4 linked regions of the Pelodiscus sinensis genome follow. The protein of the gene in region 1 interacts with the protein of each later gene in a biochemical or structural test. Links are inferred from orthologs where the notes say so. Each region holds a gene or a part of one and is shown in the gene's direction. Other genes may lie near its edges. The genes, in order: UBE2B, RNF20, UBA1 and UBR1.

Evidence for each region.
Region 2: the proteins of UBE2B (region 1) and RNF20 form a complex in vitro, tested with the Homo sapiens proteins (4 studies listed by BioGRID, with this or other methods). The link is inferred for Pelodiscus sinensis from reciprocal best matches to the Homo sapiens genes UBE2B and RNF20.
Region 3: of the proteins of UBE2B (region 1) and UBA1, one has a biochemical effect on the other in vitro, tested with the Homo sapiens proteins (10 studies listed by BioGRID, with this or other methods). The link is inferred for Pelodiscus sinensis from reciprocal best matches to the Homo sapiens genes UBE2B and UBA1.
Region 4: the proteins of UBE2B (region 1) and UBR1 form a complex in vitro, tested with the Homo sapiens proteins (2 studies listed by BioGRID and IntAct, with this or other methods). The link is inferred for Pelodiscus sinensis from reciprocal best matches to the Homo sapiens genes UBE2B and UBR1.

The regions. Positions count from the first base shown.
Region 1 is NC_134727.1:28,263,250-28,270,478, forward strand, and holds the start of UBE2B (ubiquitin-conjugating enzyme E2 B), read left to right. Parts: upstream 1-4,023; 5' UTR 4,024-4,183; coding exon 4,184-4,227; intron 4,228-7,229. UniProt on the Homo sapiens protein: E2 ubiquitin-conjugating enzyme that accepts ubiquitin from the ubiquitin-activating enzyme E1 and transfers it to a E3 ubiquitin-protein ligase. In vitro catalyzes 'Lys-11'-, as well as 'Lys-48'- and 'Lys-63'-linked polyubiquitination.
Region 2 is NC_134716.1:7,956,499-7,964,236, reverse strand, and holds the start of RNF20 (E3 ubiquitin-protein ligase BRE1A), read left to right. Parts: upstream 1-4,522; 5' UTR 4,523-4,625; intron 4,626-5,442; exon of another isoform or gene 5,443-5,464; intron 5,465-6,616; 5' UTR 6,617-6,670; intron 6,671-7,738. UniProt on the Homo sapiens protein: Component of the RNF20/40 E3 ubiquitin-protein ligase complex that mediates monoubiquitination of 'Lys-120' of histone H2B (H2BK120ub1).
Region 3 is NW_027465846.1:72,605-80,277, forward strand, and holds the start of UBA1 (ubiquitin-like modifier-activating enzyme 1), read left to right. Parts: upstream 1-4,554; 5' UTR 4,555-4,569; coding exon 4,570-4,596; intron 4,597-5,241; coding exon 5,242-5,336; intron 5,337-6,041; coding exon 6,042-6,173; intron 6,174-6,675; coding exon 6,676-6,750; intron 6,751-7,027; coding exon 7,028-7,166; intron 7,167-7,673. UniProt on the Homo sapiens protein: Catalyzes the first step in ubiquitin conjugation to mark cellular proteins for degradation through the ubiquitin-proteasome system.
Region 4 is NC_134714.1:67,178,545-67,185,846, reverse strand, and holds the start of UBR1 (E3 ubiquitin-protein ligase UBR1), read left to right. Parts: upstream 1-4,238; 5' UTR 4,239-4,365; coding exon 4,366-4,434; intron 4,435-7,302. UniProt on the Homo sapiens protein: E3 ubiquitin-protein ligase which is a component of the N-end rule pathway. Recognizes and binds proteins bearing specific N-terminal residues that are destabilizing according to the N-end rule, leading to their ubiquitination and subsequent degradation.

The DNA.
Region 1 (7,229 bases):
ACTGCCCAGCCTGGAGCCCCCTCCCTGAGCCAGCGTCCCCTTATTCACCTCCTCCTGCATCCAGATTTCCTCCCAGAGCTTGCACCTCTCACCCCTTCCCACACCCAAATCCCTCATTCCCACCCCAGAGCCTACACATCCTGTCTCAACCCAGTGAGGGTACGGCTAGACTGCAGGAGTTTTTCATGATTCTGGAGATATCCCAGAAAAGCTCTTCTGCATCCAGGGATGTTTGTTCTTCCGCTTTTTAGTGGAAGAGCAAACATGATATTTCGGTCACCCCTATATTCCTCTTTCCACGAGGAATAAGGGGGCTTCCAAAAGAAGGGGGTTTTCTGACATTTGGTCCAGTCTAGACAGGCCAAATGTTGGAAAAACCTCTTCCTACAGAAGAATTGGGGAAAAAAGCAGCAGTATAAGGATTGGGGATAGCAAGTGATGGAGAGGAGGAGAATAGAGAGGGTATGGCTTCAAGGAAGGGGCGGGGTGGTAGATCTTGGCTTGTTCTGTCATTTAAAAAGTGATCTTGGGTGTAAAAAGGTTGGAGACCACTGCTATAGGGAATCCTCAAAATTAGTCTGAGGCAGGCTTCCCTAATGTAGACTTGCTACCTCCATTTAGAGCCCCAGGATGGACTGAGGAGTAATTACTTTGAATGGCCCTGCAGAAGAGCTATTTTGAAATAGCAGCAGTGGACTATCCACACTACTGCTATTTCAAAATAGCTATTTTGGAATAGGCGTTATTCCTCATGCAATAAGGTTTACAGAAGTCGGAATAAGCTGTCCGTTATTTCAGATTTATTTCGAAATAATGGAATTGCTGTGTAGACGCTTGCATTTTTATTTTGGAATAACGGTCTTTATTCTGAAATAACGCTGCTGTGTAGATGCACCCTGAGACGCTGCTCCTGTCCTCCCCAGAGACATTGCAGAAGCCTGCATTGTAGACGTAGCCTTACAGTTTTATCACACCTCTCTTGATTTTTGGAGCTTCAGGGGGTAGCCAAGTTAGTCTGTTACAAAAAAAACAGCAAGCAAATGGTCTGGTAGCACTTTACCGTCTACATGTTTTGTTAGTCTATAAAGTGCTGCCAGACCATTTGCTTCTTGATTTTTTGAATTTTTCTTTAAGCCCTATTTTGGAGTCATATCATTACACGAGAAACTCAGCTATAATTTCTTTTTTAAGTTTCTAGTCCTCATGTTTGCAGGCGAAGTTTTGAAATGTAATTCAAGTATACGTCAAAGGCTTAAACACTAGATAAACAAACAAACAAACAAAACCCTACAATTAGAAGTGGTCAGAAAATTGAGATTTTTTTCTGTTGAAAATTTTGACTTTGTATCAAAAACCTAAAAACTGAAATGTTCTCATATGACAACTAGAAAATTTCCATTGGAAACAGACACTGAATTTTTGTTTTGTCAAAAAAAGAAACAAAAATACTCCCCAAAACAAATTTATATCAAAACTGTATTACCCAAAATATATTATTTTTAAATGTAATTATTTATAAGGCTATTGTGAGTTTTTGGAGCCTTGGGTCACAATATTTGAATGCTTCAGGGGATAGCTGAGTTAGTCTGTACAGGATAAACTTAAAAAACAACAGATTGTCTGGTAGCACTTTATAGACTAACAAAACATGTAGATGGTATCATGAGCTTTTGTGGGCACAGCCCACTTCTTCAGATGACCAGAGTTTATTTGAATGCTTAGGATTGGCACTATTGTAAAGAAAGGGGGAGAAACAATTAAATTGCACATCCCATTACCCCACAGCCTTTGGGCACCACAGAAACCCCTTCATGATGCAGCGGGGGAAGAGGCTTAATGGTAATTACGGTATGGCAATTTAAGACTTGAGCATGGTCTACATTTAAAATTTATATTGATGTAGCCACATTGGCAGTAGTGGGTACCTGCAGCTCGAGGGCTGCATACAGCCCATTGGGGCTCTGTGTGGACCTACAAGACATTTTGTTTACTGTTGCCCACACACAGGCTTGCCAGATTCTGCTGGGTTTTGTCCATCTTGTTTTTTAAGCTTAAAGCAAGGGCACATGAAGTGATGTATGTGCTAAAGTGATGTGTGAGAGCCCTGCACTCTCTTTGCAGCTCATCAAATGGCTGCTACAGTTCATTTGGCACACCCTGGAAATTCTAGGTACGCAAGTGCAGTTACCAAAACTACCCACTCCAAAGAGACTGTCTTTGTTACAACAATCCTGTGGCCCATTGAGATGAAGGAGGGCCACTCATGCAGCCCACTTATTAGCCTCGGTTGCCCATCCCTAACTTAGGACTTGAAAAATCCATACTTCTGAGATGCCAACCTCACCCTTAGTGTGGACACATCTTTGTCATTGAAAGAATGCTTCCATTGCCCTAACATATGTCACTCAGGGAGTTACTGTTTCTATACAGATGAGAAAACCCCTCTATCAGTGTAGGTTGAGTTTTTAGTACTGGGTTATGTTGTGGCAATATAGCTATACCAGTATAGTCCCTGTAGCATAAGCGCAGCTTCAACAATATGAGCTTCTTGGGGAACTGTGCTGGAAGCAGCATTAACTATGTCCTGAGTATAATATCCCCGACTAGGTCTGGTTTACACATGAAAGTAATTTTGGAATAAGTGTGAATTTAAAGCAGAGTAGCTATTTTCAAAAAGCTCCATGTTTGGATTTTTTTATTTTGGAATGAAATTGTCTTTCTCTGGTTTAATTCAATCCAGGTACAAAGCGTGAAAGGCAGGGAAGGGCCGGGGGAAGCTGCTGCCCACTTTCCCCACCCTACTGATCTATGAAGTTTTCATGCCCAGCCTCACACCTGGCTGTTGAGAGTAGGATAGGTGGGAATTTGTCAAGACTGCTCATGTGCCTAGGATGGTGATCACCAACCAGTCGATCGTGATCGACCAGTTGATCGCAGCGCCCCTAGGAGTCGATGGGCAACTGCCTCTCTTTGATCCAGCCCTGGCTGGAGCAAAAAGGGGAAGCCGCCCAGGTGGCTGCCCCTCTTTGTTAACTTGCTGGCGAGGGGGATGGGAAGAGGCATGCATCCCCAGCTCTTGTCTCCTGCTCCAGGAGGGGGCAGAGCTGGGCCTGCTCTGCAGAGCGAGGGCTGGGCGGGTGGCACACGTGGCATGGTAGAGAATGGGCTATGCCACGCTGTTCCCTGCGGGCTGTGTGCGGGGTTGAGGAGCCCCTTCCCCAGTGCCCTGCTGCATGGAGCCAGCCTTGGGCTCTGCCTGCCCCAACCCCAGAACCACTACCAGCAGGCAAAGGGCTGATCCGGGCAGGGAAGAGACTCTGCCCCAGTGCTACTCCCAGGAGGCTGCAAATCCCATCACAGGGCGGGGTTGCACAGAGGGACATGGGGTGATGGGGGGGGGGAGGGGAGAGTGAGGCTGGAACAGAGGCAAGATGACACTTTTACTTTGCAGAAGTTGCATTTTCCTTTACTCCCCACTTCTTTGCCTCCCTCCTCAATTATCTATTTGGCTGCATGCTCATCCTCTCGCCTTTTCTGTGATACTCCCCCAGCCCCCTTCGGCTCCCAAACTCCCTCTCGTACCCCCACCCCACCCCCTCTCCTGCCGCCAAACTCTCTTCCAGACCCTGCCAATGAATTAAGCTGTAAACCCCCTCTGTGATGGAAGCCTCTTCAAGCCAGGTGATGGGCAACACCCCCAGCTCCAGCGGCACCTACATGGGTGTGAGCTATTTCTTCATGTTCCTAAAGCCCGGGGAACCTGTCAGGCAGGGTCTGAGTGGCGCCTTCAGAGCGTTCTCCTGCCTCCAGGGCTGCTCCCTGCAAGCCGGGCAGGTCCGGGGACGCGATTCGCGGACAGCGCAGCAGCTCCCCCCACCCCGTGCGGGGCCGCTGCGCGTTCTGCGGCTCGACCGTCTGCACCTTGACGCCCCCCAGCGGCACGTTGGAGGGGTGGAAGCTCCCTCCCCCTCCCGGTAGTGGTGCGTTCCTCTCTCTCCGCCCTCCCCTCGGCAGAGCGAGTGGTACGGTCGCGGAGGAGCCTGTGACTTTCCCTCCCCCCGGCGGAGGGAGACGCCATTGCAGGGTTGTTTGTGTAGCCGCTGCGGGCTGGGGAGGGAGACCGCGGCGCGGTGAGCGGTGCCGAGGCTCCGTGGGGGCAGGGACTCTTTTCCCAGAGAGGATCATGTCCACTCCGGCCAGGCGGAGGCTCATGAGGGATTTCAAGAGGTGAGCGTCTCGCCTGGGAGGCTGCGCGCTGGGATCGCCCCCCCCCTCCCCGAGGGGGCACCAAGCTCCCCCCCGTGGGTCTCGCTGGCGCCCCGCTATGCCTTGCGCGGAGCAGGGCCCAGGCAGGAGCCGCCCTGCGGGGCTGAGCTCCAAGTTCCTGGAGCTGCTTTGTGTGGGGAGAGGGGTAGGAGCCCCTTCGGTCTGCATCCCAAGGGAGGCAGTGCGGGGGGGCCACCTCTCAGCAATTAAAATAGCGGGGAGACAGGGGGTCGGTGCACCCCCCATATTACCAGGAGCCCCCCCTGTGTGTTCCTGGAGGGCTCGGCGGGTAGCCCCCCTGTCGCTGAGGAGTGGGAGCAGCTCCTCTCCCTGGCGTGGGGATGGAGATGCAAGGGGGTTCCCTGTTTTGTTTCCGCCCGCTGCTGAGCTGAGGTTGGCCCCGTGAGCTGGGAGAGTAACGCCTAAGGAGCTGTCCCAAACCCACTTGAGGCTGGCACCCAGGAAGTGCCCCGTCCAAGCCTGCGATCCGTGCAGGGTGTAGGCAGATCCATCATGAATCCTGGGTATCTGCTTCAAGACCAGCCTGACCTGGTCTGGAGGCCAGTAGTAACACTTGGCTCTTGAACAGCACTCTCCTCAAAGGACAGGTCCATATGGCTGCCTTGTGTTTTACATGGGGAAATGGAGTCTGCAGAGGTGAAGCAAGTTGCCCAAAGTCAATAACAGAGCTAGAAATAGAATCCAATATGCTGACTTCCAGCTTAGAGCCCTATTCACTGGACTACATTGAATCCCTTAATTCCCCCCACTACATCAAGTATGTACTTCAGTCTAGGGCTTCTCCAGGTACAGGATTTAATCTGCTTTATCTTTGTCCTGTTTCTCCTCCCCTATGCTGGACTGTTCTTTGAGAGAGTTAATAACACAGAAACAAACTTCACTTTCCTTGAGAGCAGACACGATCTAGAATGCAAAAACCTCACTTTATGCTGGTAAAGGAAAATGCTGGTTTGTCAAAGGTCTGTTACTGGAGTTGGGACTACAGGATAAGCAGCCTTTTACCCCTGAATTCCTTGGGACGGAGATGCTGAAAGGACTTGGGTCTATATGGTAAATGCTGTTCCTACACATGCACATCAATAAGAAAGTTAACATCTCCTATCCCACTAAAGATATTGGTTAAACCTCTGCTTCTGTAGAAAGGAGTCTGTTTTTGTTTTTATTTAGAGTTACTTCCTCTAAAGTTCTCTGCTCATTCCTGTCTTCAGGATGCCTTATGTCTTTAAAGCAATAGCCACTCTCCTTTTTCTGTCAACATGAGAAATGTCCAAAGAGCCTTTCATTATATTGCATGTGGTCTGTTAGACAGCCTGTATCATTCCTAAAAGCCACTGTTTATAGACCAAGCGTTTATTTATAACATTTAAAGTAGTACATTATAATTATATCAGAGATTCCATGATGCAGTAACTCTCTAATATAAGGGAATTAGCTCTATGATGTCAAACTTTGCTTCAGGCTGGAACTTGACAGAGGAGAGAATATTGAGCCTGTAAATATTTATGCAGGTTTCAAATGCCCATCTGTACTCTCATTATTCAAATATCTTGGTTTTTTTAAAAAACATCTCTGGAGATCCGGCATCAACATTCTCTCTTGTTGGTTTTAGTAACTTTTTTGTGGGCCTGGAAGTGAAATGCTTAGTGAGTAAAGCTAAATTTTTCAGAGATGAGTTCCCTCATGGGTGGGACAGTCCTCAGTTTTTGGGAACCTGCCTTGAGATAGTTTTTTGGTGGTCTTCTACCCTTCCTGCCGCTATCCTCCCACTGCTGAAGAGCCACAACTCCAGCTGAAGTGAATAGAAGTGTCAGATTCTTGGCCCTTCTGAATGAAAGCTTGTCTCAGTCTGGGCACCTAATTATGCACACTGAACTGATAAACACTTCTGGACTCTTGTACATACTATTCTGGTTGATAACTTCTGTCTCACATTGTTTAAAATGTTGTGTAAACAAGGACCTTTTGCTATATATTAGCAAAAACATAGTTATATTCTGTTTAAAAATTATGAGTAGCCCTGTGGCACCTTAGAGACTAACAAAGTATAAATAGTATCATGAGCTTTCATAGGCAAAACCCACTTCATCAGCTCCTCTGTTCATCACCTGATGAAGTATGTTTTTCCCACGAAAGCTCATGATACTATATATATTTTTGTTAGTCTCTGAGGTGCCACAGGACTACTCATCATTTTTAAACAGAATATAACTATGTTTTTGCTAATATACAAATGGAAATAGAAGGTGCCACAGGACCACTTGTTGTTTTTAAAGTTACAGACAAACATGGCTACCCCTCTGGCGCTGTCTACACAGCTTCCCTCTTCCACAAAAGCCTGGGCAAATGAAGCGCAGATTAGCATACTGTCTCACTTCATTTGCATAATTAATTAGGAGCTGTTTTTGCACAAAAAGCACCGTCTACACAGCGCCTTTTTGTGCAAAAACCCCCCTCTTGTGCAAGAGCCGTTTTTCCTCATTTTTTCAGGAAGAACGGCTCTTGCTCAAGAGAGGGGTTTTGCGCAAAAAGGCGCTGTGTAGATGGCGCCTTTTTGCACAAAAACCTTTTGTGCAAAAAGGGCTCCTAATTATGCAAATGAAGCATGGCTATGTGCTTCATTTGCAGTATGCTAATATGTGCTTCAATATAGGCTTTTGCAGAAGAGGGAAGCTGTGTAGACATAGCCTCTGAGACTGTTTAAAAATGGTACATGCTGAGCTAGAGAGACTCTTTTAGCAACTGTTCCAGTTTGTCATTTAATTACATGTTATATACTACATCTGTTGTGCATGTAGAAAAAAATTAAAAGCTAATTGTTATAGGCTTTAAATTGTATGCTTTGTTTCAACATGATATGAATTAACGTAGCTGATGACTTATTTCCAATAATTTAACTTTGATAGTGTTTCTTTTTAGGGATAGCTCTATGTGCAGGTACTGCA
Region 2 (7,738 bases), on another chromosome or scaffold:
GTACCTCTGCTGCATTCCGCTCACCCATCTCGAGACGGGTGAGCAAACAACGGAAGAGGACTTTCAAACGTCTGAAGGCAAGCTCCACCGGATTTCGGGCCTGGTTGAGGCGGTCGTTGAACCGGGCCCGGTTCTGGTCCGGCCGCCCCGTGTAGGGCCGCATTAGCCAGGACAGCAGGGGGTAGGCCGCGTCCCCGATGACGCAGATGGGCATAGGCACATTCCTGACAGTCAAGTCCCGCCGGGGGAAGTAGGTGCCCGCCTCCAACCTGCGAAAGAGTCCAGAGTTGGGGAGGATACAGGCGTCATGTGCCCGGCCGGACCAGCCCCTGTAGATGTCCAGGAAGCGGCCCCGGTGGTCCACGAGGGCCTGCAGAACAATGGAGCAGTACCCCTTTCTGTTCATGAAATGGGCCGCTCGATGCTCCGGGTCCCAGACGGGGATGTGGGTTGCGTCCAGGGCTCCCCTGCAGTTGGAGAACCCGAGGGCAGCGAAGCCGGCCATGGTAGCATCCACGTCGTGCAGGCGGATGACTCTTGGGAGCAGGACGTTGTTGATGGCGTGGACGACCTGCAGAAGGGTGCAGAGAAACACAGGGGAACACATCACATACGGCAGAGGTGAGTGTGCGCTCCCTTGGGCCCCCCCTTGATTCCCTCTGTCCTCACGCACGCGCGCACACACACACACACACACACACACACCAGGGCCCCCCTCGCTCCACGGCCTCCCTCCCCCACCAGCGGGCCTGTGCAAGGGAGGGACAGGCCAAACCCCTGGGCGACCCAGCCTGGAGTCTTGGCTGTCCCTGGGCAGCACCCTCCCCCCATCCCACTCCCCCTGGGACTTACCTCCACGACGATCACACCGATGGTTGATCTTCCCACCCCGAATTGCTGTGCCACCGAGCGGTAGCTGTCTGGTGTGGCCAGCTTCCACAGCGCGATGGCGACCCTCTTGTTCACGGGGATGGGTGCCCACAGCCGGGTGGTGGCTCTCTGCAGTGCGGGGGTGAGCCAGGCGCACAGCTGCAGGAAGGTTCGCTTTCTCATGCGGAAATTCCGGAGCCATTGCTCCCACCAGTCGGTGCTGGTGTCCAAACTCCAGACTGGCCTCTCCACGGTGGGGTGCTTATGCCACAGGGTCGCCAGCGCCTCCCTGCTGAGGGAGTCGAATGCGATCTCTGCCTCCTGGTTCTGGAACACCAGGGCACCGGCCTACAGCACGAGCTGCAGGCACTTGTACAGCTCCAACAGGGGTCCGAGCAGGCACATGGCCACCCACAGCTCCATGGCAGACAGAGCAGGGCAGAAGAAACAAAACGCAGGAAAAAGCAGTTGGGGGCCAAAGGGTGGTGTCCCCAAAAGTAAGAGGGCAACCACCAAACCTGCTAAGGGTGTCAGTCCCTGCCAGAGGTCCCAACGCACGGGAGCATGAGACAAATGGCTGTCCGGCGAGACCCCTTTAAGCACGTGTCTGAACGGAGCTCTGGCCCCGCCCCCGGAAAGGTCTGGTGGCCTTTTGCCCTCTTCAAAATGGTTCTGGGCTTCTGCTTTTGCGAAAAAGCACGCCGCCAATCTAGACGTGCTTTTCCGCAAAAGCGCATCGTTATAACGATAACTCCGGGACCAATCTAGACGCGCTTTTCTGGAAATACTTTTAATGGAAAACCTTTTCTGTTAAAAGCATTTCTGGAAAATCATGCCAGTGTAGATGAAGCCTAGGAGTAATTGCAAGCAAAGAGGAATGAAAGCATATTTGTAAAAGAGAAAGTATGTAAATAATAATGTGCCACCCCCAAAGGGGTAGAAGTATGTTTTTTTTTTCTTTCAGAAAATCAGGACAAGCTGGTACCAGCAGAACCCCCTACAACACTATGGGGCTGTGTCTACATTGGCATCCTTTTCCGGAAAAGGGATGCTAATGAGACACTTCGGAATTGCAAAAGCAAATTTGAAAGTAGGAATAAGGGATCTTCCGGAAAAGGCTTTATTTTCTGCAAGATCCCGTCTAGACTGGCGCTTTTCTCCGGCAAAACCCCGAGCCGGAAAAAAGCGGCAGCCATGTTATGCAAATGCAGCGGGGGATATTTAAATCCCCAGCGGCATTTGCAATTTCGAAGTGTCTCATTAACATCCCTTTTCCGGAAAAGGGTGCCAATGTAGACACGGCCTGGATGTATTGTTGCAACAAAGATTGTTTTATGTTTTGTGTTTGTCTAACGTCTGTCTGTCTTCCTAGCTAGTATACTGTGTTAAAAAAATTATACTGCACTAGGCAGGAAAGGTTTAATAAGCATTATGCAATTTGAGTGTATTTACAGACACCAGTATCTCAAAAGAGTAGAGGCCAAGGAATTTGAATCTTGCTAATTGGAAAAAGTGGTAAAGGTTCATTTAAAAGAAAAACTGCATGGAGCACAAAGTTTATCTATTGATAAGAAACTTGAAGGAATAAACATAAAGCACAAGGTTAAATTACTAAACAAAAAGGATAGATATGTGAAAACATTGTGTAAAAAAAAAAAATCAGTGTTAATTGGAATGTTTAAATCAACTTTAAGCCTGTAAGGCAAGCTTAATGCACCTGGATGTTGCATACAATTGGAAGTTTACATCCCTGATTGTAAGGGGCAGTATTTCCAGTATTTCCAATACTGCCAGTATTTCCCCCTCTGACAATTATGCTATTGTTAGCAGGGAGTTTATGGGATCAGTACAGGAGGCATTTATTTAATGCTTGTACATGTAAAATTATTATTATACAAAATACTGTATGTGAAACATTAATTAGGGAATGTATGTAAGAGAGAGACAGTGCTTGGACAATGAATGAATGGTTTGAGAGGTGCCAGCCTGAGAATGCAGCATCTATATAAAATCTTATATTTTAGTTACCTGCAATAATATCATTAGCGCTTTCATGTTCAGTTCTCTGCACAATCATTGTCCTTCCAACATTCCTGTCCTGTTCATTAGTGTAATCCACACTATGGATGTGGAAAACTAACGCACAGAACAGTGAACTGACTTGCAGACAGTCACAGCACGTGTCTTATGTTTCTTACTGCTTTCCCTCTGGCCCTTGCTCATTTGCTTCACAAATTGTCAATATGCATTTTGGAGTTGTCAACTGAAGGGAGCATCTATGTATGCAGTGCCTGCCAACACCTATTCACCACCAATGGTCCCTGGCTTCGGTGCTGACTGAGAGAAGCCTGGCACCTGCTGGCTTATATTGCACAATGCAATTTTTAAAAAATAAACGGCAAAACAAATGTGCTGCCATCAAATTAACCAAGTAGCCACAACACATCAATTTGATCTGAGGAAGTGGGTCTGGGCCACGGAAGCTCATCACCTAATAAACCATCTTGTTAGTCTTTAAAGTGCTGCATAGTCCTGTCTTTTGTTTCAGCTAGACCAGACTAACAGGGCTACATCTCTTTTACTATTTCACAACACCTCGATTACCCCCACCCCACCTCTTTCAAGACTACACTTGAAAGAGAATCCTCCCAGCTGTCATTCATGCTTAAATTCGACACTTTACATCTAAGTTTGAATAAAGACTCTAATTATCTTGCCCATTACAAAGATAGCGTCCCCAATGATCACTAGCTCCCAGACATTTACCCCCCGCAGCCTCCTTCTGTTCTGAAATGTGATTTGTCCTTTTCATATGTGTTCATTTTTTTAATTGTATCCTATGGTTGTGACTATTTTCTTCCACTATTTGATCTGAAGTATCAGAGGGGTAGCCGTGTTCGTCTGAATCTGCAAAAGCGACGAGGAGTCCTGTGGCACCTTATAGACTAACTGAAGTGTAGGAGCATAAGCTTTCGTGGGCAAAGACCCACTTCGTCAGATGCATGTACATGCATCTGACGAAATGGGTCTTTGCCCACGAAAGCTTATGCTCCTACACTTCAGTTAGTCTATAAGGTGCCACAGGACTCCTCGTCGCTTTATTTGATCTGAGGAAGTGGGTCTGGCCCAGGAAAGCTCATCACCTAATAGCGCTGCATAGTCCTGTCTTTTGTTTCAGTGACACCAGACTAACAGGGCTGCATCTCTACCCCCACCTCGCTGGTGCCTCCCTCCTTTCCCCCCGGCTGGCTGGTTTGCACCCCCGCAGCTGCAGGGGCTAGTTAATATTCCAAGGTATTTAGGAAGTGGGGAGCCTAAATGCATTGGAGGAGCGAGGCCATGGGGTCGCCTACTCCCCCAGCTGCTGCTCTAGGTCCCCTGCTGTACCCCACTCGTGCCCTCAGCTCAGCCACGTCCCCTGACAAGAGGCAGGGCTGCAGCCGCCATGTCAATGAAGGGCGCCTGACTTCGAACCCCTAGGAACCAATGAGAGGCGGTAGCCATGGCAACTAAGGGCAGAGCGGCGGCAGAGCCTGTCAGGCGGTGGGCGGTGGCCGCCCTGTTGAGGAAGGGCAGAGTGGCTTCAAAGCCTCTGGCAGGCAAAGGGCGAGGGCAGCCATGTTTGTTGAGGGCACGCTGCCGGGCGACAAGCTACGTGAGACGCCGGCGGGGATTGGCTGAGCTGCTGTCACCGGCCGCTTCCTGCAGGGTCAGGGTTGGGAGGCCGGAGGTGAGGCCCGGTGGCTGGGCCGGGGGTGAGTCTCGGGGCTGGGGTGTTGCGGGGAGGAGAGGGGGCTTGGCCCGTGGGGGAGGGGCAGGGGGCTTGGCCCGTGGGGGAGGGGGCTTGGCCCGTGGGGGAGGGGCAGGGGCAGGGGGCTTGGCCCGTGGGGGAGGGGCAGGGGGCTTGGCCCGTAGGGGAGGGGGAGGGGCAGGGGGCTTGGCCCGTGGGGGAGGGGCAGGGGCAGGGGGCTTGGCTCGTGGGGGAGGGGCAGGGGCAGGGGGCTTGGCCCGTGGGGGAGGGGCAGGGGCAGGGGCAGGGGGCTTGGCTCGTGGGGGAGGGGCAGGGGCAGGGGGCTTGGCTCGTGGGGGGAGGGGCAGGGGCAGGGGGCTTGGCTCGTAGGGGCAGGGGCAGGGGCAGGGGGCTTGGCTCATAGGGGAGGGGCAGGGGCAGGGGGCTTGGCTCGTGGGGGAGGGGCAGGGGCAGGGGGCTTGGCTCGTGGGGGGAGGGGCAGGGGCAGGGGGCTTGGCTCGTAGGGGCAGGGGCAGGGGCAGGGGGCTTGGCTCATAGGGGAGGGGCAGGGGAAGGGGGCTTGGCCCATGGGGGAGGGGCAGAAGGGGAGGGGGCTTGGCCCCTGAGTGTGAGGGGGGTCGGGGGGGGGGAGTGGGGAAGTGTTCGCGGAGGGGGGGGCAGTTGGCCCCTGGCCTGGGGTAAGGGGAGCGGAGGCTCAGGCTGGGGCATGTAGGATGGGGGAGTGTCAGGGGCAGGAGGGGCTTGGCCCCTGGGCTGGGGGAAGGTGGGCTGTGGGGTATGGGGGAAGTAAGAGGAGGGGGACTCGCCCCTGGGATAGAGTAGAAGGATATCAGTTAGTTGGAGGTATGTAGGGGTCAGCCCCTGTTCTGTGTCTGGTGGGGAGGGGCAATATCAACGCTGAACTTGGGCTGGTTGGGTGAGGTGACTTGATCAGTGGGGGCTTTTTGGGGTGTGTGTGTGAGGGGGAGTGATGGGATAATCGCCCCTAAGGGTGGGGCGGTGCACACAGATATTTTCTGAGAGTGGTATTTTTTTTCTGTCAGCCTGTTGGTTTCTGTTAACAGTGCTCTCTGTGGAAAAAAACATCCCACAAATAACAAAAGCATGCTCCATTGAAAAAGAGGGACATTTTTAAACACAAGGAACTGAAAATCTTCCTTCAGTCACATTTTAGAGTGAGAAGGAGATGGCAGTGGGAGGATTCAGCTCATAGATGTTGGACATTTTAAGGTTCTTTATAAGACATTTAAAAGATGGTATGGACCTGCTATAAAAGTCTTGGAGAGATTTCAAAACATGAGACACTTGAGAGGGTCACTGTCAAGTTAAAATAATACATTGCAAACTAAGGGTACATCTAGACTACATGCCTCTGTCGCCAGAGGCATGTAGATTAGGCTACCAGACATAGTAAAATGAAGCGGCGATTTAAATAATCGCTGCTTCATTTAAACTTACATGGCTGCTGCGCTGAGCTGACAAACAGCTGATCAGCTGTTTGTCGGCTCAGCGCGATAGTCTGGACGCGCGGGTGTTGACATCAAAGGTATTTGTCGACCACCCAGGTATGCCTCCTGGGATGAGGTTTACCTGGGTGGTCGACAAATACCTTTGACGTCGACACCCGCGCGTCCAGACTATCGCGTTGAGCCGACAAACAGCTGATAAGCTGTTTGTCAGCTCAGCGCGGCAGCCATGTAAATTTAAATGAAGCGGCGATTATTTAAATCGCCGCTTCATTTTCCTATGTCTGGTAGCCTAATCTACATGCCTCTGGCGACAGAGGCATGTAGTCTAGATGTACCCTAAGTCTCTGATTGAGCAAAGCACTTAATTCACACACTGATTTGCTTTACTCACATATGCTTTCAAAGTAAGTGTCTGCATGTTTGCAAGCGAATTCCTTAGCTGTATTAGAAATACCGCTGTAAAATGGAAAGAAGTTTAAAAATCTGTTGATACTATATGTTTTGTTTACTTTTGCTTTTTGTTCAGCTTGTAGGTAGAGGCACATCTTCAGCTCCTGTGAATGGGCTCAGCATCAGAGAGGTTAGTGGAACTGTGGCCATTTACATCATCTGATGATATGGCCCTAAAAATTGGCTAGTCTGTTTCATGAAGGTTCACCTGTATTGGCACAGTCTTGCAATGTTTGGGTTAAAAATATTTCCAGGACATGTTTGTTTGTTTGTTTAACTTCAGTGGAGGAAAAAATCCTGTAATAGAAGTGGTGGTCTTGAGTTTTGAAGATTACTATTTTTAAAATGATTTGGGGGTCAAATTAAAATACTAACCTGATAACTAGTTAACTGAACTCTTGGCCTGGCTGGAGCATCCCTCCTCCCGCAGCGTGGTGGACACTGCCTGATTTGGAATGGGCCCATTGCATCATACTGTGGGAGTGGGGCTGCTCCAGGGTTAGCCAGTTAAACATAGCACTTAACCAGTTAACATTTTAACCAGGAATTTACATCCCTGGTTTGCTGCAGGATTCTCCACTCCTTCCTTTCTCAACATGTAGGTCAAGGAGTTTTAGTAAGCTTGTAAAAAGCAGCAGCTTTCAGTGGAATTAAAAGGACTATCCTCACACTTTCTCTCCAGTGATCCTATTTATAGTCTGCAGATGTTGGCAGATATGAAAAGATCTGCTGCTGAGTTTTGCCAGGGCAACCTGAGCCACACCATTTCCTTCTAGCACAGTTATAATAGAGTCAGGCTGCTGTAGACATATAGGATAGAAGGAGGAGTCTTACCAAACCCTTCATTCCTGAGTCCAGTCAGAATTAGAATGTAAGAATCCTCATCGGGAACATCACCGTCCCAATTCCCTGCGTCATCTGAGAACCTTTTGGTAACCTTTTGTAAATCATCAGCTGGAGCAGTTCTGCCCCTGTTCTTTTTGTCTGTTGATGTTTTTTATGATTGATCTTAAATAAAACATTTAAACGTGAACTAATTACAATAAAAATGCAGAGAAACAAGTAAAATACATTTATATAATGAGAAATTAACATTGAAATACCCATATTGCAGTAGGCCATTCAAAATAGGGAGCCCTGTTATGCTGAGAACTGTACAAATGTGTAAGATGCAATCTTTGCCCAAGGAGCTTAAAAC
Region 3 (7,673 bases), on another chromosome or scaffold:
AACCAGCCCTGCTGGGCTCCTCCTGACCCACTGCCCCCCCCCCCATAACCAGCCCTGCTGGGCCCCTCCTGACCCACTGCCCCCCCCCCATAACCAGCCCTGCCGGGCCCCTCCTGACCCACTGCCCCCCTATAACACAGCCCTGCCGGGCCCCTCGGTTCCCCCCGCGGTCCCTGCCAGCCCGGCCCTGGGCTCCCCGTCTCCCCCCCGCCCCGACTCTCTCCGCTCCCGCCCCGCTGCCCCCGACCTAGTTCTCTCCGCTCCGCCGAGCGCTCCGCCCCGCGCGGCTCCGGGCTGCGCTGGACTCGCTCCCCGGCGGCTCGGGGGAGGCAGGCGCAGCGCCCCGCGCTCCGGCCATGGGCCCCTGCGCCCGCGGGGCGCGGTGACCGGACCCAGGTAAGCCGGGGCGGGGCGGGGCGGGGCCAGGGGGGGCGGACGCCCGGGTTCGCTCCCTGCCTCCCGGGGAGTGAGGGCCAGTGGTTGGATCAGGGGGGCTGGGAGACCCCACGCCTGGCTTCCCTCCCGGTCTCCCAGGGGAGTGAGGGCCAGTGGTTAGAGCAGGGGGGCTGGGAGACCCCACGCCTGGCTTCCCTCCCGGTCTCCCAGGGGAGTGAGGGCCAGTGGTTAGAGCAGGGGGGCTGGGAGACCCCACGCCTGGCTTCCCTCCCGGTCTCCCAGGGGAGTGAGGGCCAGTGGTTGGAGCAGGGGAGCTGTGGTCCTGCATGCCTGGCTTCCCTCCCTGCCTTCCAGGGGAGTGGGGGCCAGTGGTTAGAGCTGGGGGGGGGGGGGCTACGAGCCCGGACGCCTGGCTTCCTTCCCTGCCTCCCAGGGGAGTGAGGGCCAGTGGTTGGAGCAGGGGAACTGTGGTCCTGCATGCCTGGGTTCGTTCCCTGCCTTCCAGGGGAATGGGGGCCAGTGGTTAGAGCTGGGGGGGGGCTAAGAGCCCAGACGCCTGGGCTCTCTCCTCGCCCCCCAAAGGAGCAGGGCTGTGGGCACATTTGGGGTGGGCTGTTGTGTGGGGCAGTCTGGGGCAGGTGAAGTTTGGCAAAGTTAAAAGTAGCTGAAGGTTGGCCCCGCCGAAGGGTGGCACTAGGGGGCGCTGTGCTTGGGGGTGTGGCAGGGGGCATTCTGGGGGGCTCCCATTGTGCTCCCTGCCATTGTCAGTTCTCAACCCCTCCCCAGGGTGTGTGTCCCCTGCTGGCGGGGCTGGGCCCCGTGCTGTGGGGTGTGCTGCTGGCTGCGGTGGTCTCACATCTGTTGTCTGGCTACAACGCTGAGTTGTGTGTGGCCTTGCACTTGGGCTGTGTGGTGTCTTCGTGCCCAGCTGGATTGTGTGTCTGTTCCTTGTTGCGTTTGTGTGGTTGCCGTGTGTTTGTTTCCATGTTCCGTGTGTGTCTGCGAGGCTGGGGTCTTTTGTGTATTACAGTGCGTGAATGCGGCTGTGTTGTATCTGTTGCACTGTGTGCTCCTGACTGTGGGGCATGCGTCACAGTGTGGTAGTGTGTGTCACAGCGTGAGCATACAGTTGTCTTGGTGTTGTAGGTATGTTGCAGTGTTTGTATGCAGGGTTGTGGTGTCAATCACAGTGTGTGTGTGCAGTAATGTATGCATCAAGGTGTGTGTGCAGTTGTGGGGTGTGTGTCAAAGTGAGTCTATGATGGCGGGTTGTGTGCATATGGATGGGGATTTCACAGTGTGTGGTTGTGGGGTGTGAGTGTTGCAGTGTATGCATGCAATTGTTTAGTATGTGAGTGTTGTGGTGTGTGAGGTTGTGGTGTGTTGCAGTCCATATGTAATTGTGATGTGCATGATTGTGTGGTGTGTTTGCAGTTGTGGTGTGTGTCTGTGTGCAAGCAATTGTGCGGTGCACATGTGTGCATGGTTGTGGTGCATATGTTATAGTGTGCATGCAGTTGTGGGCTGTGTGGTGCAGTGGGTGTACATTTGTGGAGTGTGTCACAGTGGGTGTGTAGGGTTGTGGGAGTTCTGTCCCAGTTTGGAGGAATTGTGGGGTCTATGGATGTGAGGTTGTGGAGTGTATGTGTGGTTGTGGGATGTGGGGTGCAGTGTGTGTGTGTGGTTGGGGTTTGTGGTTGTGGAGTGTGCGGGGGGGGCTGTGGGTCATGTGTCAGGGTGGGGAGATTGTGGGGTGTTGCAGTGTGTGTGTGGTTGTGCAGTTGTGAACTGTGTGTAATTGTGGAGTGTGTCAGTTTATGTGCAGTTCTGGGATGTGTATGGTGTATATGTCTGGGTTGTGTGTGGAATGTTGAAGCGTGTGGGGTTGTGAGGTATTTGTTATAGTGCAGTTTTCAGATATGTGCAGTTGTGGGTATGTGTGGTTGTGGGGTATTTGTCAGTGTGTGAGTGTTTGTGTGTTTGTGATGTGGTTGTGGGAGTGTCATGGGTGTGTGTGTGGTTATGCTGTGTGTGTAGTTGTGGGGCGTATGTCACAGTAGGTATATGGTTGCGGAGTGTGGGGAAGTTGTGTGGTGTGTGCCACTGTGTGTATGTGTGTTTGTGGGGAAGTGTCGCAGTGTGTAGTTGTGGGGTGTGTGTGCAGTGGGGTTAGGTATGGGGGTTTCATGGTGTGGGGGGCGGAGGTGTCACAGTGTTATAGTAGGTGGGTATCGGGGAGCGTGGGGGGAGTTGTAGTGTGTGTGTTGTGGGGGGTGCAGTGGTGTGGGGCATGGGGGGTTGTGGAGTGTATGTGCATGGTTGTGCAGGTTTGTGGGTTGTGTTGAGGGACGGGGGTGTTGCAGGAAGTGTCAGGTGATTGTGGGGTTTGTGTGCAGTTCTGTGGGCGTGAGGTTGTGGGGGGTGTCGGGGGGTGAGGTTGTGGGGGGTGCAGGAGGGGGGATGCTGGGTGTATGTGTGTGGAGGGGTGCTGTGTACCTGTCTGGGTTGCGTGTTGCAGTTGTTGGTTGTTGGCTGTTCCCTCCCATGCCCCCCCCCCCCCCCCGTTATCCCTCCCCACAGGTTACACCAGGTTCCGGCTCCTGTTGCCTTCAAGAGGCTGTAGCCAGGTTGCCATGGCAACAGCCAGGGTTCTTGGGGTTACCGGGGCGATAGGAGGGTTCTGGGTCCATCTGTCCAGTTGTCACCAATCGGCGCTTGGCGGGGGGCAGGCGGGGTCCTCCCAGCCCGGCCCTGGGCTCCCCGCCCTGCCGGTGCCCCTCACTCCCCACCCGCAGCCCCCCAGCCCGGCCCTGGGCTCCCCCCGCCCGCCGGTGCCCCTCGCTCCCCACCCGCAGCCCCCCAGCCCGGCCCTGGGCTCCCCCCGCCCGCCGGTGCCCCTCGCTCCCCACCTGCAGCCCCCCAGCCCGGCCCTGGGCTCCCCCCGCCCGCCGGTGCCCCTCGCTCCCCACCCGCAGCCCCCCAGCCCGGCCCTAGGCTCCCCGGCCGCCGGTGCCCCTCGCTCCCCACCGCAGCCCCCCAGCCCGGCCCTGGGCTCCCCCCGCCCGCCGGTGCCCCTCGCTCCCCACCCGCAGCCCCCCAGCCCGTCCCTAGGCTCCCCGCCCTGCCGGTGCCCCTCGCTCCCCACCCGCAGCCCCCCAGCCCGGCCCTGGGCTCCCCCCGCCCGCCGGTGCCCCTCGCTCCCCACCCGCAGCCCCCCAGCCCGGCCCTGGGCTCCCCCCGCCCGCCGGTGCCCCTCGCTCCCCACCCGCAGCCCCCCAGCCCGGCCCTGGGCTCCCCCCGCCCGCCGGTGCCCCTCGCTCCCCACCCGCAGCCCCCCAGCCCGGCCCTAGGCTCCCCGCCCGCCGGTGCCCCTCGCTCCCCACCCGCAGCCCCCCAGCCCGGCCCTGGGCTCCCCCCGCCCGCCGGTGCCCCTCGCTCCCCACCCGCAGCCCCCCAGCCCGGCCCTGGGCTCCCCCCGCCCGCCGGTGCCCCTCGCTCCCCACCCGCAGCCCCCCAGCCCGGCCCTGGGCTCCGCCCGCCCGCCGGTGCCCCTCGCTCCCCACCCGCAGCCCCCAGCCCGGCCCTGGGCTCCCCGCCCTGCCGGTGCCCCTCGCTCCCCACCCGCAGCCCCCCAGCCCGGCCCTGGCTCCCCCGCCCGCCGGTGCCCCTCGCTCCCCACCCGCAGCCCCCAGCCCGGCCCCTGGGCTCCCCCCGCCCGCCGGTGCCCCTCGCTCCCCCACCCGCAGCCCCCCAGCCCGGCCCTGGGCTCCCCCCGCCCGCCGGTGCCCCTCGCTCCCCACCCGCAGCCCCCCAGCCCGGCCCTGGGCTCCCCCCGCCCGCCGGTGCCCCTCGCTCCCCACCCGCAGCCCCCCAGCCTGTCCTAGGCTCCCCCCGCATGCTGGTGCCCCTCCCTCCCCACCTGCAGCCCCCCAGCCCGGCCCTGGGCTCCCCCCGCCCGCCGGTGCCCCTTGATCCCCACCCGCAGCCCCCGAGCCCGTCCTAGGCTCCCCCCGCATGCTGGTGCCCCTCCCTCCCCACCCGCAGCCCCCCAGCCCGGCCCTGGGCTCCCCCCGCCTGCCGGGGTATCAGACCCCAGGGGGCAGCTGCTGACCATTGGTTTCATGCCCGGGCTGGGAGCCAGGACTCCTGGGTTAGCCCCGATCTAAGGGGGCCATGAAGGACATCCCCCAGCCAGATCCTGTAAGGGGGGTTCAGGGCCCGGGCACTGCCAGCCCCAGCATAGAGGGGCTGGCTGGCGGAGCAGGGGGGCTGAGTGGCAGGGGAAGGAAGGGCTCAGCAGAGGGTCTGGCTGTGTCTCCCCAGGATGCCGTGGGGCTGGCTGGCGGAGCAGGGGGGCTGGGTGGCAGGGGAAGGAAGGGCCCAGCAGAGGGTCTGGCTGTGTCTCCCCCAGGATGCCGTGGGGCTGGGCTGGCGGAGCAGGGGGCTGGGCGGCAGGGGAAGGAAGGGCTCAGCAGGGGGTCTGGCTGTGTCTCCCCAGGATGCCGTGGGGCTGGCTGCGGAGCAGGGGGGCTGGGCGGCAGGGGAAGGAAGGGCTCAGCAGGGGGTCTGGCTGTGTCTCCCCAGGATGCCGTGGGGCTGGCTGGCGGAGCAGGGGGGCTGGGCGGCAGGGAAGGAAGGGCTCAGCAGGGGGTCTGGCTGTGTCTCCCCAGGATGCCGTGGGGCTGGCTGGCGGAGCAGGGGGGCTGGGCGGCAGGGGAAGGAAGGGCTCAGCAGGGGGTCTGGCTGTGTCCTCCCCAGGATGCCGTGGGGCTGGCTGGCGGAGCAGGGGGGCTGGGCGGCAGGGGGAAGGAAGGGCTCAGCAGGGGTCTGGCTGTGTCTCCCCAGGATGCCGTGGGGCTGCCTCCGGCTGCGGGAGGAGAAGAGCTACAGCAGCGTGGGCGACATCACGGACAAGTACGAGATCGGGAGCTGCTGAGCGTGTGAGTGTTTGGGGGCCCCTCCCCCCCCGCTGCCCCAGCCGCAGGGGCAATCGGTCGTTCTCTGCCTCAGTTTCCCAAGCAGGGGAGAGAGGCTGAGGGGGGAGGTGGATCGTTTTACCAGGCTCCAGGGGAGCCACCTGAAAGCAAAGGGGCCGCCCTCCCTCACTTTTCCCGGGAGCCTGGGGGGACAAGGCAGGAACCTGGACCCAGGGCCGGAGCAGGCCTTGGCGTGGCCCGGTGGGGAGGGGCACGTGGCTGGCCCAGCGGGTTGGCACTTGGGCGGCTGGGTGCTCGCTGGGACCCCCTAGGCCTGGCCCAGGCGCCGCGATGCCTGGAGAGGAATGCTGTCCCAGTCCGCCCAGCCTGTCCAGTTTCCCCAGGACTGGCTCCCCCAGCACCCCCATCTGTGGCCTGATCTTCTGTCCTGGGCGTGGCAGATTCCCATTGGGCCAGGCAGCTTGACTCCCCATTCCTCCCCCCAGGGTGAGTCACCCCAACATCCTGCAGCTCATCGACACCTTTGAGACGCGCAAGGAATTTTACATCATCCAGGAGCACAGCAGCCAGCAGGGGGAAACTGAGGCACGCGGCAGGCTGGGAAGGGTGGTTGCAGTTAGGATGACTGTGAGAACGGGTGGTGCTGGGGGTTGGGGGGCGGGGCTATGGGAGGGGGGGCTCTGTACGATCTCCCCCCTCCGCCCCCAGGAAGGAGTTTTGCGAGCTCTGCCTGGCCCGCGAGCGCCGGAGCGACCGGCTCGTCGTCTGCAAGCGGTTCCGGAAGCGGGACGGCAGGAAGGTTCGCCAGGCGGCCCGGAACGAGATCCTCATCCTGAAAATGTAGGTGCCCACGGACGCGAGGGCCCTGAGCGCCTTCGGCACCTCGCTTTCCTCCTCCTGAGCCCCCCTGGCAGCAAGGCAACGTACCAGGGGGAAACTGAGGCAGGCCTGACCTCACAAAATCCTCTTGAGGGTGCATATTTCTGGCCCTGCTGTGTCTTTCTGTTGGCCCCTGGTGTGTCCACCTGAGCTCCCTGGCCCTGCCGGGGGTGCCTGCTTCTTTGCGAGTGCCTCCAGCCAGTCTCTCCCCTTTGGTGCATGGAGGAGGGAAACTGAGGCAGGCCCCAGCGTCCTTGCGCTTGCTAGAATTGTCACGTGAGCATGAGCCTGCTGCCGTTGGCCGTGCTGAGCGGGGGGAGGGTGGGTCCCCGCGGGGGGGGGGGGGGTCCCTGCAGCAACGTGGGGCAGGCTGGAGGGGGGGGTGTCCCGGCTTGGGGGTGGGGTGGCACCGGCTCTGAGGGAAGCGGTACCGTGGGCTTGACTTTCCCTTCCCTCCCCCCAGGGTGAGTCACCCCAACATCCTGCAGCTCATCGACACCTTTGAGACGCGCAAGGAATTTTACATCATCCAGGAGCTGTGAGTAGGGGGGGCACCGCAGGGCTGGGGGGGAGGGGACCCTGGGGCCGTGGCTGGGGGGGGAGGGGAGCCTGGGGCCGTGGCTGGGGGGCGCCAGGGTTTGGGAAGGGGGGGTCGATCCTGCCCTTGCAGCAGAGGGAGCAAAGGGGGTACAGGCCGTGGGGACCCTGGAGTGGTCCGAGGGGCCATCCTGGGCGGGGGGGAGCAGGCTCCGTGGCTGGGAACGGGGGGTCTCCGGGCTCCCCCAGGCTAAGCCAGTGCGGCGCTGCCCCGGCAGGGCGACGGGCGGGGACGTCTTCGACTGGATCCTGGACCTGGGCTGCTACTCGGAGCGAGACGCCAGCAGCCTCGTCCGGCAGGTGCTGGAGGCCCTGGCCTACCTGCACGGCCTGCACATCGTGCACCGCAACCTCAAGGTCAGCTGCCCCCCAGCCCCGGGCCCCCCTCCAGCGCTGCCACCGGGGCCAGGCTAATCCCCTGCTCTGCCCACCAGGCCATGCTCCCCTCCCGGAGCCGGGGGGAGAACCCAGGCGCCCCGGCTCCCAGCCACTCGCCCCGGCTCCCAGCCCACTCGCCAGGGTTTTGGGAGGTTCGCTGGCTGGTTTCTTTAGCTCACATCCTCCCTCTGGTGGCCACTTCTGTGCTGTGCCCAGTAGGGTGGGGAGGGGAGGGGGCAAGCTGGCTGGGGGGGGGGGGGGGGGAGGAGCAGCTGGCTAATGTGGGGCAGACAGCCTGAGGAAGGAGGTGGCAGAGTTGTGGGGGGCTGACAGCGAAGGAGGCGCTGTGGGGCTGGCAGGGGAAGGGACGCTTTGGGACCGGTGCAGTGGGGCTGGTGGGGGAGGGGGCGCTGCTGTGGGGCTGGCGGGGGAGGGGCGCCATGGGGCTGACGCTGTAGGCCGGGCGGGGGTCTGACGCCCGACGTA
Region 4 (7,302 bases), on another chromosome or scaffold:
TAAGCTCAGAGAGCTGGTAGGTAAGGTTCCATAGGAGCAAAACTGAGGGGAAAAACAACTGAAGAGAGTTGGCAGTTTTTCAAAGGGACATTATTAAGTGCCCAAAAGCAAGCTATTCCGCTGCACAGAAAAGATACAAGATATGGCAAAAGACCGCGTTGGCTTAACCAGGCGATCTTGCGTGATCTAAAAATAAAAAAGGAGTTATGTAAAAAATGGAAACTAGGACAAATTACAAAGGATGAATGTAGGCAAACAATACAGGAATGCAGGGGCAATATTAGAAAGGCAAAGGCACAAAATGAGCTCAAACTAGCTACAGGCATAAAGGGAAACAAGAAGACATTCTATAAATATATTAGAAGCAAGAGGAAGACTAAGGACAGGGTAGGTCCATTGCTCAGTGAGGAGGGAGAAACGGTAACAGGAAACTTGGAAATGGCAGAGATGCTTAATGACTTCTTTGTTTCGGTCTTCACCAAGAAGTCTGATGAAGGAATGCCTAACATAGTGAATGCTAGTGGGAAGAGGGTAAGTTTAAAAGATAAAATTAAAAAAGAACAAATTAAAAATCAATTAGAAAAGTTAGATGTCTGTAAGTTACCAGGGCCTAATGAAATGCCTCTTAGAATACTCAATGAGCTGATAGAGGAGATATCTGAGCCTCTAGCTATCATCTTTGGAAAATCATGGGAGACAGGAGAGATTCCAGAAGACTGGAAAAGGGCAAATACAGTGCCCATCTATAAAAAGGGAAATAAGAACAACCCAGGAAACCACAGACCAGTCAGTTTAAGTAATTAAGGAAATCATCTGCAAACACCTGGAAGATAATTAGGGTGATAGGGAACAGCCAGCATGGATACGATTTGTTCTTTACAAGTCAAACCAATCTGATAGCTTTCTTTGATAGGATAACGAGTCTTGTGGATAAGGGAGAAGCAGTGGATGTGGTATACCTAGACCAGTGGTCCCCAAACTTTTGGGGCTGCCGGGCGCCTGGGGGCTGGGCCGCACACACGCCGGGCACTCGGGGGCGGGGCTGTGCACACGCCCGGGGGTGGGGCCACCCATACGCTGTGTGCCCAGTGCCGGTGCCACCCATGCGCTGCACTCCCTGGGCTGGCGCCGCTCCTGTGCCGCACAACCAGGAGCTGGCATCACCCACGCGCTGTGCGCCCGGGGCCGGTGCCGTTCGTGCGCTGCATGCCCAGGGGTGAGGACGCCCATGCACCGCGCGCCCGGGGCCGGCACAGCCCATTCACCGCGTGCCTGGTTCTGGAACAGCCCTTGTGCTGTGCACCCGGGGCCGGGGCCGCCCATATGCTGCATGCCCGGTGACGGTGCCACACATCCGCCGCACTCCTGGGGCCCGCACCGCTCCTGTGCCGCACGCCCAGGAGCCAGCAGCGCCCATACACTGCGTGCCTGGAGACGGCACAGCCCTTGCGCAGTGCACCTGGGGGCGGAGCCGCCCATACGCAGCGCTCCCGGGCCCGGCACAGTCCTTGCTCCGTGAACCCAGGGGCGCGGCCACCCATGTGCTGCGTGCCCAGGGGCCAGCACCACCCATGCCACACGTGCCCGGGGGTGGAGCTGGCCCCGATCACTTGGCGGGTGCCCAGAAATGGCCCAGCGGGCGCCATTGCACCCGTGGGCACTGCATTGCGGACCACTGACCTAGACTTTAGTAAGGCATTTGATATGGTCTCACATGATATTCTTATCAATAAACTAGGCCCGTGGTCCCCAACACGGTGCTCGCGGGTGCCATGGCGCCCGTGGGGGCATTCGTGTACGCCCGCCACGTGCCCGGGGCTGGCCTGGCCCTGGGCACGTGGCGCATGCACAGTGCCGGAGCCGGCTCCAGGCGCATGGTGAGCGCCGGCCCCGGGCACTTGGGGGCGCCGGCCCTGGGCGCGCGGCGCTTGGGGGGGAGGGGGCGCCGGCCCTGGGCGCTTGGAGGAGGGGGGGCGCCGGCCCCGGGCGCACGGAGCTTGGGGCGGAGGGGGCGCTGGCCCCGGGCGCGTGGCGCTTGGGGGGGGCGCCGGCCCCGGGCTCTTAGAGGAGGGGGGGCGTCGGCCCCGGCCCCCAGCGCTTGGAGGAGGGGGGGCGCCGGCCCCGGGTGCACGGAGCTTGGGGGGGAGGGGGCGCTGGCCCCGGGCGCGCGGCCCTTGGAGGTGGCCCCGGGCACTTGGAGGAGGGGCGGGGGGCGCCGGCCCCGGGCGCGGCTATGGGGGGGGTGCGGCTATGGGGGGGCCCTGCCCCCGTGCCCGCCCCCTGGTGCCCGGCGGGCGAACGGCCACGCCCCCTGGCGCCCGGCAACCTCCACAGGTTGGGGACCACTGAACTAGGCAAATACAACTTAGATAGGGCTACTATAAGGTGGGTGTATAACTGGCTGGATAACCGTTCTCAGAGAGTAGTTATGAATGGTTCACAATCCTGCTGGAAAGGTATAATAAGTGGAGTCAACCCCTTGGTAGCGGCTACCGAGGGGTTAAATATTGGAATAAATTGCCAAGGGAGGTGGTGGAATCTCCTTCTCTGGAGATATTTAAGAACAGGTTAGATAGACATCTGTCAGGGATGGTGTAGACGGAGCTTGATCCTGCCTTGAGGGCGGGGGGCTGGACTCGATGACCTCTCGAGGTCCCTTCCAGTCCTATGATTCTATGATTCTATACACTGGCCCTTGAATTTCCGGAAAAGCAACAATGCTCTACTGTACAAAATCAGCCACTATTCCGGAAAAACTATTCTGCTCCCGCTCGGGCATAAGTCCTTATTCCGGAACACTGTTCCGGAAAAGGGCCAGTGTAGACAGCCCAGTAGTCTTTTCCGGAAAAAAGCCCCGATCGCGAAAATGGCGATCGGGGCTCTTTTCCAGAAAAGCGCGTCTACATTGGCCACAGACGCTTTTCCGGAAAAAGGGCTTTTCCAGAAAAGGAGCCTGCCAATGTAGATGCTCCTTTTCCAGAAAAACTGAAAACGGAATAGTATTCCATTTTAAGCATTTCCGGAAATTCATGCCAGTGTTTAACTGAAAGGAAAATGAAAGACAATTAGGATAGTATAACCTAAGTTCTGAACAATGTAACAGAGTATTTAAAGGCCTAGAGGTCTTGAGACACATACCCATATAAGAGGCTCACAATCAAAAGCGGATTAAGCTTTTGTGGGGTTCTGGGCCAGAGCAAGTGAAGAACCCCGTCACTCCTTATGCCTGTAGTGTCTCCTTGGAAGAATATGGGCAAGAGAGAGAGGATTGGGAATGCAGGATGGATGGAGGAAGAGACTGAGAGGGTTTGGAAGTTGTGGTAAGAGGAAAACAATAAACGGGGATGAGGTAAGTAATAGGGAATGGAAGAGGGTGAGAACTGGGAGGGGACAGTAGGGGTAGCGGAGGGATAGGGGCATAAGTACAGGTCATTGAACATTCTCCCTTCCTATTTGTGGGCCCAGATGTAGGGGAAAAGGAGAAACCCTCCCAGCAGGTCAGGGATTGTATCTGAACCCCTCCTGACATAGTGTTGTCTACACTGGGTTAAGCTGGTATAACTGTTGCTCAGGCATGAGGATTTCTCTCACACCTGAGCAATTTAGTCAGGGGTGGATATAGGGCAGGGCGAACGGGGCGGTTGCCCCGGGCCCCGCGCTTAAAAAAGCCCCGCTCATGCGCCGTGGCAAAGGGGGGGGGGGCCGCAAAACAGTCATCTGCCCCTGAATTTAGTTATATTGATGTAGGCCTCTCATTTCGACTTGGCCTTATTCCAGAATACACGTGCAAACGGGAAGTTCTAGAAGCATAGTCATTTAACTATTCCGGTATGACTGGTAAAAACTTTCTAGTGTAGACAAGCCCTTAATTAAACCAATGCAAATCTCTGCACAAACAACCTTATTTCTGTTCAAGAGCAGTTGATTGCCAACATACCCATGTTCACAAAGGGCTCTGCAATGTTTCAACAACGTGGGCTTGCCCCTCAGAAGAAACCCTGAAGAGAAATGCAGCCTTAACGTAACAGTCCTTCTGCTTCTATGTTCTGGTCACCCCCGCTGGCTGCTCCCTTCGAAGGTGGCTTCTGCCACGCTAGCCTTAGGACGCTGTGGCCCCGCCCGCCGTTGGCTTTTCCCCTGCCTCTGTGCCGGAAATAGGCTCGGATCTGAAAGCAAGTAAAGGCAGCGGCTTCAGCGGTTGTGACTGCGCAGGCACAGGTCGGTAGCGCATGCTCAGTGGCAGCTAGGTGCGCTCACAGTCGGGAGGCAGATTCGGCCGCTAAAGCTTGGCCCGGCTGCCCCGGCAACTTGTTTCCGGTTGGCTCTGCGGGGCGGGGCTTGGCAGCCGTGTCTTTTGCCCTCAAAATGGCGGATGGAGGAGCCGGAGCAGGAGCCAAGGGTGGGGATTCCGTGCAGCTCCCGGAGCGGGCCATGGTGAGACTCCTGCCCTGTGGGTTCTTCCCGGGAGCCGCCCACGCCCTGCCTGTGGTGACCTGGTAGCCGCTGGAGCCCCCAGCGGAGGGGAGCCTCACCCCCTGCCCGCGTGGGGGAGCAGTGACCCCTTGGTCGCCTTCCCTCAGAGCAGGTGAGGGCCCCCTGGGCAAGGACCACCAGGTACCTGCCCAGTGGGGACTTGCCCACTGGAGTGTGACAGCACCGCCACCGAGTGTGGACGCACCTGTCCTCCCTTTTGCCCATTGTCTGCCCTGCATGCAATGGCTGTTTGCAAGTGGCACAGTTCCATGCGAGGGTGACACTCGTGCGCTGTGTAGAGACCACTAAGCCCACAGTAAGAGGAGCAGTGACAAACTGTCGGCTGCATTGTAGAGATGGTCTTCAGTGAAAGGTGGGGTAAAGGTATCATAGCATGGACTTGAGATAAAGGATGATGGCAGTATTTTGCTTAAATGCAAGTTTCCCTGTGTTGGAATAACAGACTGATAAATACTAAATAGCCACTCAGTTGCAAAGCAAATATGGCCCTGATGCCCCAGCAAAGCAGAGTAGTCAAATATACCCCACGATATTGTGGAGCAGGATGTTACAACAAGCAGTTACCTAATAAAGGGTTATCTGTTGTGTACATTTGGTTTGCTAGTGAAAAGTAATACCTTCCTACTATGCAGGAAGGGGAGGATTCTCCTCATCAAGTGCTTTGCTTGAAGTTGCATAGAATCAGTTGTTGAAAGTGATTAAATTAAATCATCTGCCTCATAATTCTATTCTAATCTGAAGGTTGTCTTGGAGAATAATCTGATTTTTTTTCCATCTGTCTACATACACATGTCTCAAATTAGGGAAAAGGCCCCTTTATTAGCGGCAATATGCTTCATGCACCAAATAAGTTATATTTATGTTGAAGCTGAAGTAGAATAAATATTTGCTAATTTCTGGGTTGTTATATGTAATATACATTTGGGGGTCCTTTATTATTTGTCACTTGATTTGTATTTGTGTCTATATGTGTATATATAACTGGATCTTATTTTCTTTCATCAGCCAGTGGAAAGCTGAAGGCTTCAAATGAAAATAAAGGGAACAGTATTGACTCAAAAATTTAAACATAAAATCTTGCTTGAAAACACTAGTTTGAAAATCTGTTAAAAATATTGTAGTCTAGTCTCCTGTATCAGGTCAATGTTAAGTGGGAATTACATACTAATTAACTATTTTATTTCTGTATCTTGTATTTCTAAAGTAGACTTTAGAACTACCCAAGAATGTAGTCAGTGTCTAATGTTGGGAGTCATCAGAGCTATAGACTGGGCTCCAATGTTCCATTGATTCTACTTTAGCAAAACCACTGTTTTGTGTACTAACATAAAATTAAAACATAGAGTTTATTTTAAACATGGGGTAGGAATTCCAGCTGCTTGACAGAATAGCAGGGAATTAAAGTGATTGGTAAAATGGTGTAGGATTGAACTGACTGATATCATTCGACATTCAAACATACATACTTGCAGAATAGCATACAGAAAAATGTGACATCGTGGTGTTGAATTTAAATTCAGTGTATGGATTAGTAACTTAAATAATAACAAGCCTGTTGCAAGGCATTTGATACTTTGTGATCTACAGATGAAAATCATCTTAAAAGTCTGGTTGTGTTCCATTTCCATACACAGCTGTTCAGATAGCCATAAGTAGTTTATGGATTAGCTACCGCTATCTTCTTGAAAATGATATAGTACACAGTCCCTGCCACCCCACACCCCCGGAGTGTTTTTATCTCCCAAACTCTTCCAAGGAAATGCTCATTTAAATGAAGCTTGTCAAAAACATCCACAGTTCTTTCTCTTTTCTTCAGGGCAAAACTGCTTAGCACAGAATAGAGATCAAGATTTTGAAAGGCCTTAGTAAAATTACACATGGAAAGAAATTGTTCTGTATTCATAGGAAAATTGTCTGAATACCACATAAGATTCCTTTCCCAAGAGTTCTTAATGATGTGAAATACCATAAGCCAACATTTCTACAAACTAAAAGTCATATCCCTCTGAAGAGACACTTAAAAATGACTGGTTAATGTTTCTTAAAGATAACAAACCAAATGCCCTAAATAAAAATATGGTTTCTCCTTGAACTTTCTTTGACAAAAGATGCAAAATGAGAAATCCCGAAGTTAGTGATTTTTTTTTTCAAAGCAGCACATTGAGTTCAAGAGAAGTAGTCAAAATCCAAATCCAGATGCTGGAAGAGAGAACATGCTGAAGGGGGAGGGAAAGGGGGGAAAAAAACATAGGTAGATGCACTAACAAAGGGCAGTAAATAGGGGAATAAATGCAACATAATCTCACCAGAAACCCCAGCTTCTTTGAAGCAAAATGCAGGACAATGTAGCACTTTAAAGACTAACAAGATGGTTTATTAGATGATGAGCTTTTGTGGGCCAGACCCACTATTTGATCTGAGGAAGTGGGTCTGGCCCACGAAAGCTCATCATCTAATAAACCATCTTGTTAGTCTTTAAAGTGCTACATTGTCCTGCATTTTGCTTCAAAGAAGCTGGGGTTTCTGGTGAGATTATGTTGCATTTATTCCCCTATTTACTGCCCTTTGTTAGTGCATCTACCTATGTTTTTTTCCCCCCTTTCCCTCCCCATTCAGCATGTTCTCTCTTCCAGCATCTGGATTTGGATTTTGACTACTTCTCTTGAACTCAATGTGCTGCTTTGAAAAAAAAAATCACTAACTTCGGGATTTCTCATTTTGCATCTTTTGTCAAAGAAAGTTCAAGGAGAAACCATATTTTTATTTAGGGCACTTCTTTGCTATACTTAAACAAAGCTATCTAAATAT